Linked DNA regions of Astyanax mexicanus. The protein of the gene in region 2 purifies or fractionates together with the protein of the main gene of each other region. This does not show direct contact. Links are inferred from orthologs where the notes say so. Each region holds a gene or a part of one and is shown on either strand. Other genes may lie near its edges.

What was found.
Region 1: the proteins of nploc4 (region 2) and aspscr1 purify together in Homo sapiens (affinity purification with mass spectrometry; 3 studies listed by BioGRID and IntAct, with this or other methods). This does not show direct contact. The link is inferred for Astyanax mexicanus from reciprocal best matches to the Homo sapiens genes NPLOC4 and ASPSCR1.

What each region holds. Positions count from the first base shown.
Region 1 is NC_064423.1:30,503,430-30,507,187, reverse strand, and holds the start of aspscr1 (tether containing UBX domain for GLUT4), read right to left. Parts: upstream 2,883-3,758; 5' UTR 2,843-2,882; coding exon 2,753-2,842; intron 2,522-2,752; coding exon 2,466-2,521; intron 523-2,465; coding exon 408-522; intron 1-407. UniProt on the Homo sapiens protein: Tethering protein that sequesters GLUT4-containing vesicles in the cytoplasm in the absence of insulin. Modulates the amount of GLUT4 that is available at the cell surface. Enhances VCP methylation catalyzed by VCPKMT.
Region 2 is NC_064422.1:46,559,316-46,563,073, reverse strand, and holds the start of nploc4 (nuclear protein localization protein 4 homolog), read right to left. Parts: upstream 2,747-3,758; 5' UTR 2,620-2,746; coding exon 2,605-2,619; intron 1-2,604. UniProt on the Homo sapiens protein: The ternary complex containing UFD1, VCP and NPLOC4 binds ubiquitinated proteins and is necessary for the export of misfolded proteins from the ER to the cytoplasm, where they are degraded by the proteasome.

The DNA of each region.
Region 1 (3,758 bases), on a different chromosome or scaffold from region 2:
ACACCAGAACCTTGAGACAATATTAAACCTAAAATAAAACACGTTTCACAATTAATTCTATTGTGTATAAAAGGCACAGGGAATTGTAAAGTCTGATAAGCATAAGTAAACCACATTTAAATCTATACAATATTTAATGATAGAGAATATAAATTTTATATTTATACCTGCAGCATTTCATTTCATTTCATTTCAATAGCGACAGTGTCATGAAAGATATCTTCTAATCACAAGTGGTCACTAAAGATGCATGTTGCTCTCCACTTGTGATCAGATCACTTGTGACAGATATCAGAAAAAGGTTGTCAGTGATAATGTTACATCTTTGTTGCTTCCAAATCCATGATTGTCCCTATACTCCAGCCAAATAACTCACATTGGCAATCAACACTGATCTAATAACCCACCGTGCTCTCTGTCCCTCCCAGCTGCCGGGTACTTGGCACCACCTCCAGCTTGGCATTATTTGGCAGGCTGGCAAACCTCCACTGCAGTGTCAGATCCAGCACATTCCTCTGAAACCTGCGGATAAAAGAGTCACACAGAGTTAGGGGGAGAACACAAAGCACTCTAAGCACAAAGGACAGACACCAGCAGCAGATAACCTCTGCAGCTTCATGACGTGTGACTCACTGACCATCACAAACACAACCATTCAATTCAAACAGGTGTTGGAAGCACCTTTACACATGACTGTGTCCAGAGGCTGGCTTACAATGGCTATACAGGCAGCAGCTGAGGGAGACTGTGTTGACCTGGCATTGATTTAACCCTCTTTATATATCAAATACTAGACACACTGTACTAAACTTTTTATGCGGCTGTTTGTTCAGTGTATTCACATGTAATACAGTCATATACATATAGCCACAAACAAAAAATTATAACATCTCTAATTCTTTAAATTGTGGTCCAGCTTACACTGTTGTATTTAAGGCCATTAGAGCCAAGTTGGAACACATCAACCATGAATCAAGAGCAAGACTAGTAGCTGAGTCCAAGTAAAGACCAAGACTGTGTATCACTCAAGTCAGATTAAAACTAACAACAGGAAACATTTAATTTAAGACCACAAATTTGTGATAAACAAATCCAGGTTAAGACTAGGATTTTGCAATTTTCAATAGTCATGTGGGACTATTCAATAGATCAAAAAAAAAAAGAGATAACGCAATATTGAGTTTTATTCACAACAAAGTTTTTGTAATGAACAAGTCTAAGTATAAACAGAGAGTATGTTTAGAGTCAAAAGAATCCAAGAATCTGTAGTGTATAACACTGTGCCAATATCTAGACTGAGACTCAGCAAGTCTTTGACACTTGGACAGAACAAATATGACATTGTAGTAGTTAATACTGTGTCAAAGCTAAGACTGAGACAGAGCTAAGATCAAGACATTAAAGCAGTCAAGACCAAGTTAAGACCAAGAATGTGACATACCGAGTCCAAGTCATGACCACGATTGGAGCACACTGAGTTGGAGTCAAGACCAAGACTTTTGTAGCAGTCAAGAAGACCATGTTAGGGTCCAAGACAAATACCAAGAGCAGCTTTATCCAAGTCAAGACAGATACTCTGTTTATGCGCTGTAGAACTGGAGTTAAAGACAGAGTCTTGAAGCAGGCAAAGTTAAATCAAGACCACATTGAGTAAATCAATCTCTCCCAAGGAACTCTCTCATGAGACTTTGGTACCATTTTTGGTATTATAAAAGCATAGCAACAAAGTACAACTACTTCACTACTGTACTTGAAAGTGCTAGAATGCTATATCTGTACTACTCTACTTGGATACTATTGTACTCCTACTTGCACTCTCCTACTTTACTACATATTTTTAATGTTCTAGTTTATTACTTTTACTTTGACTGCCCTGTTCCTTGTTACAATTATAAAAATGTTAGGAATATTCCGTACAATAACTACAGTAACCCCAGTTTACTAAGCTAGCTAACCTAGAAGACTCCAACTGAAACATTTTTCTGATTATTGGATTATACCATATTGAACCTTCTTTTTATGTATTTTTTATGTTTATATATAATATAATAATGTATATATAACATAATATTATATGCCCATTACAATGACACATACAAGTGGGTCATAAATAAAAATATGTATATGTGCAAGAATAAGTAAAGAAGTATATTTGGCTGGTTTTATTTTTATGATATGCTTGTTGGAAACTTACTAAAACAGTGTATTTTCATTTGCTGCCTTTGGGCAGTGTTAATCAGGTTACAGCTGGGTTACAACACTCATGTTCTTCTTTGCTTTAAAACATGAACTGATTGAAATTACCAGGTTGTTTTCAAAAGTCAAAACAGAAATTGATATCGGTTATATCCACAGGGACTCCTAAAAATATTTTAACTCATGCCATAGAGGGAAAATGTAACTAAATAGCTAAGTAGCTCACCTAAGCATTTATTAGCATTTATGTAGCATTTTAAAGCACTCACTTGAGTCCATGGTCGTCTGGATTGAATCCCTGTTTCTTACAGACTTCCTCCAGGACCTGCAGAGGTAAAATAAACAAGAATTAATCAGTTTTCCCTCTTTTCCATCTGTTTCAGAGACAGTTCTCTCTCTCAGCGCTCAGCTAACGTTAGGTTAGCTAGCAGCTAAGCTAGGCTAGGCTAACTGAGCAGCCATTGTTCAGATAGACAGCCATAAACAGCGCCCTTCTCTCTGAACACAGGCCAGCACCGCGGTGTTTATAAACCGAGCCTTTCTCTGAGCTCTTTACCTGCAGTAAAGGTGTGTTTGGGGAGACTTTAACGGTCTGTCTCCGTCCGTTCGGGCTCAGAACTGACACTGCAGTACTGCTGGCTGCCATTGCAGAGTGACGTCACCGTGTTTGTTTGAAGCAACTTTATGTGAAGCAGAGCTGAGACACCCTCATCCTTCAAACACAGCAGCTCTAAAATCTCACTTAATCACAAATATACTGTAAATTAATTATACAGCAGCTCTGAGAACTCACTTAATCACAAATATACTGTATATTAATTATACAGCAGCTCTAAAATCTCACTTAATCACAAATATACTGTATATTAATTATACAGCAGCTCTGAGAACTCACTTAATCACACATACTGTATATTAATTACACAGCAGCTCTAAAATCTCACTTAATCACAAATATACTGTATATTAATTATACAGCAGCTCTGAGAACTCACTTAATCACACATACAACGTATATTAATTACACAGCAGCTCTGAGAACTCACTTAATCACACATACAACGTATATTAATTACACAGCAGCTCTGAGAACTCACTTAATCACATATATACTGTATATTAATTATACAGCAGCTCTGAAAACTCACCTAATCACACATATACTGTATATCAATGATACAAAAATTCTGAGAACTCACTTAATTACAAATATAATGTATATTAATTACACAGCAGCTCTGAGAACTCATTTAATCACACATATACTGTATATTAATTATACAGCAGCTCTGATAATCACTTAATCACAGATATACTGTATATTAATTATACCGCAGCTCTGAGAACTCAAATAATCACACATATACTGTATATTAACTATACAGCAGCTCTGAGGACTCACTTAATTACAAATATACTGTATATTAACTACATAGCAGCTCTGAGAATCACTTAATCACAAATATACTGTATATTAAATACACAGCAGCTCTGAAAACTTACCTAATCAAAAATTGACTGTATATAAATTATACAGATAAATATAACATGACTTTCTTAGC
Region 2 (3,758 bases):
AATTAAATTAGTTAAACATGCTAAATAGATGCAATTAATAAGCAGTAAGTTACTGTAGGTTATTTAGAGGCTGTAGCTATATTAGAACATTTAAAAGGCAAAATAGTTATCTAGATAAATAATATATAAGTTATGTATTATACAGTAATAGTTAACTGTAACTGATGTCAACACAGGTTAGCTATGCTAAGCTAATTCTAGGTTAGTCATGTCAGGTGTAGGCTATCTAACAAATGGACTAAACTAGCTTAGCTAAGCTAGATGGCTAAAACAGGCATACTGTAACTGAAAATTCAGAGAGATTTTGTAGTTAGATAGATGTATGCCTGTATTTAAAGAAGTTTTAATTCACCCTAAATAAGCTAAATTAATGCAGTAAATAAAAAGTACTGTAGTTTAGATATGGCACTCTCTCACGGTCAGCCTTTAATAAGAGCTTTTTGTGAAGAATTTACATTGTTTTATTAGATGATTATTAAGCTTTACAAATAGATAAATATCTTTATTAATCAGTTTTATTACCTGCACATGTAATTGTAACTAGTGTTGTGTCAGACTTATGCTAGCTAACAAATGGACTAAACTGGCATAGCTAAAAGAGCTAAAACTAAAACTGGCTTAGCTAAAACAGACAGCCTGTAAGTGAATATTCAGAGAGATGTAGTTACTACAAGTATGTCTGTATCTAAAGAAATTCTGAATTAATGCAGTAAATAAACAGTACTGCAGTTCAGATCTAACTCTCTCTGAGTGTCAGCCTTAATAAGTGTTTTTTTGCAAATAATATATATTGTTGAAATGGCTTTATTAGATGATTTTAAGCTTTATAAATGGCTAAATAGATAACTAAATTTATTATACAGTAACAGAAGCTAGTTAACTAAAAACTGTAAACGCTGTGTCAGAGTTATACTAGCCAATAAATTGACTAGTTAACTAGCTGAAGCAGACTGTCTGTAAAAACACATTCAGGCATATGTGCAGATGACAGATTATATTAAATATACACTGTGGTGATTTGTATCTAAAATAGCTAAATATGCTGAATAACTGCAGTAAATAAACAGTACTTTAGTTCAGATCTGACTCTCTCTGTGTCAGCCTTTTATAGGAGCTTTTGTGATTAATTTACATGGTTGAAAGGATTATATTAGACGATTATTACGCTTTATAAATAGGTAAATAGATAAAAAGCCTTATTAATCAGTAACAGTAGCTAGTAGTAACAGTAACAGTAGTAATCAGTAACAGTAGCTAGTTAGTTGTAAGTGGTGTTGTGTCAGAGTTATGTTAGCTAACAAATGGACAAAACTAGCTTAGCTAGCTTAAACAGACAACCTGTAAATAAATATTCAGATATATATTGTAGCTAGATAACAGGTTATATTAGATATATATTGTGGGGTGCTTTTTATTTAAATGAGTTAAATACACTGAGATAATGCAGTAAATCATCAGTACTGTAGTTAGTTTAGTTTCTGTAGCTACAGTAGATCTGGAAGTTTCTCTTTGTCAGGCGGAATTTTCCACAACCTGCCAACTTTATTCAGCACACCACGACCCATCACCTTTAATCTATCACATTTATATGATTATCTCGTGTTAAATATGTGTGTGATTCCCTCAGTTATTTACTTAGCTAGCCACAGCTTCACTCACTGTTTAGCTAACGTTAGCTAGCGTTAGTTACTCAGTTTACCCCTCTCTGAGTCTAGGTGTTATGTCGAATTGTGCTACCCATCAGTATGTGCGTGCTACCGGCACTGCGCATGCGCTGATCCACGTTATTTTTGTTTAAAGGTTTTACTGTGTTTTTAATAATAAATCTTTCGTTCTTTCGTTTATAAAGTCACAGTAATAATAAACAATTAATAAAAAAACACAAAAATGTAAGATTTTTGAGAAGATATAAGAAACGCAAGTGACCTGATTATACCAAAATCTCTTACATTAGATCCTAAGTTGTTCTTATTAGGTATATATAGGAAAAATCATAATTACTTTAAGATTGAGATGACTTTTTTGACCTTATGTTTGCAAATGCAAAAAAAATTGCACTGTATTGGACAAAAACTATTAGACGAAATGTTTAATAACATTTAATAACTAAGATGTATGCGTGTATGTATGTATGTATATATGCATGTATATGAATATATCTATATATGGGAGGGGGGGTCTGTGTGTTAGATTGTTGGTTTTATTGATCTTTCTCATATTTTACTTTATCTGTCAGATATTGTTATATATTAAAACTAAACAAAAAGACTATTAAAAACAGTTTCTATACATATATTTAAGTTTTTTACCCAGGCTAATCAGACTTTAAGTTAGTTGAACTGTCCTCTAACTTAAGTTTTAAATGTAGCTAACTAAATATGTTAATAACTAAATGTACATTCATTAGGGTAGCACGATTTGGTAGGGCGGCACGATTTGGCGCAGCACCGGCTCGCTTCCAGGCCCGCAGTGTTAGCCTGTTAGCACGGAGCTACAGATTCTGCTGCCTCATCACTGCGCGCTGAGCTCAGATAACTCCGCGGTTCTGCTGTTTATCTGATCAGTAGTTATACAAGATTAAACCCTGAATAAAGGACTACTCACGATGTTCTCCGCCATGTTTATCACCGGGCCCGTGACCCCCGGTTCCTCTCTCAGAGCCGCGGAAGTTTGGGAGAGCAGGGTCGGTGAGTTCTCCGCTACAGCACCGCTACAGCACCGGGCCGCCGCTCACTCCGCTCCATAACTCAGCTCAGCCCGGCCGCGCTCCAATACCCGCCCTCGCTCACTCACTAGGGCGCATATGTAGTGTGTCATCCCAGCTCATCCCAATTAAATCACTATCTCAATTCATCAGGTTTAGATCAGGGGATTAATGTGGAGGAATAACACGTTTTTACTCTTTACTACAGAATTATATATGTGTCTCGCATTCGTTTTTATATATTTATTATTAATCTACAATGTAGAAAATACATGAAATAATATATATATTTTTTATATTTTTCTAATGTAAACTGGTATATCCTCTTGAGACCTAGCGTCCACATATGAGGATATTCCATTCCTGCTTCTCTGCACCATTATTCTTATTTTTTTTTTCAAACGTTGACCCTTTAGCCTTATATGGAGACACTGCCAGTACTATTTAGGGGTCACATGACAACATTATACTTAACTGATTAAAAACAAGATGGCGAGAATCCCAGGCAAAAGTTTCTACAGCCAGGTAAAAAATATCATAGATTTTTAAGTTTGAAACTAGGTTATACTAGGTTAATTGGGTCCTTCTGGGTCCTTTTGCAAAAAATGCTTCCTATACAAAGAGTAAGTTACGTTTCTATATTTTTTATACATGTTAAGTACTCCTGAATAGATAGAAGAAATTAAAAATGCACACCAAGCTAAAGTCCGGGTGTCAGGAGGATATATATCTCCAGTTTACATTAAATCATATCTCCTCTGACCTTATTTTAGCTGCACTAGATGTATATATTTTTTCCTTTATTATATTTGTAGTATTTTTTATTTTTTCTGTAACATTTTGTATATACAGTTTATTATTATTTGTTTACATATATATTCCTGACCTGTGTCTATGTCCTTTCCTCTGTGCTGCTGTAACATTGCAAATTTCCCCATTGTGGGATTAATAAAGGATTATCTTATCTCATCTTATTATCTTATCTTATCTTACCTATATATATATAATTAGAATACATTGTGTGTGCGCGTCTGCTTTGTATTTTAATTCTCCA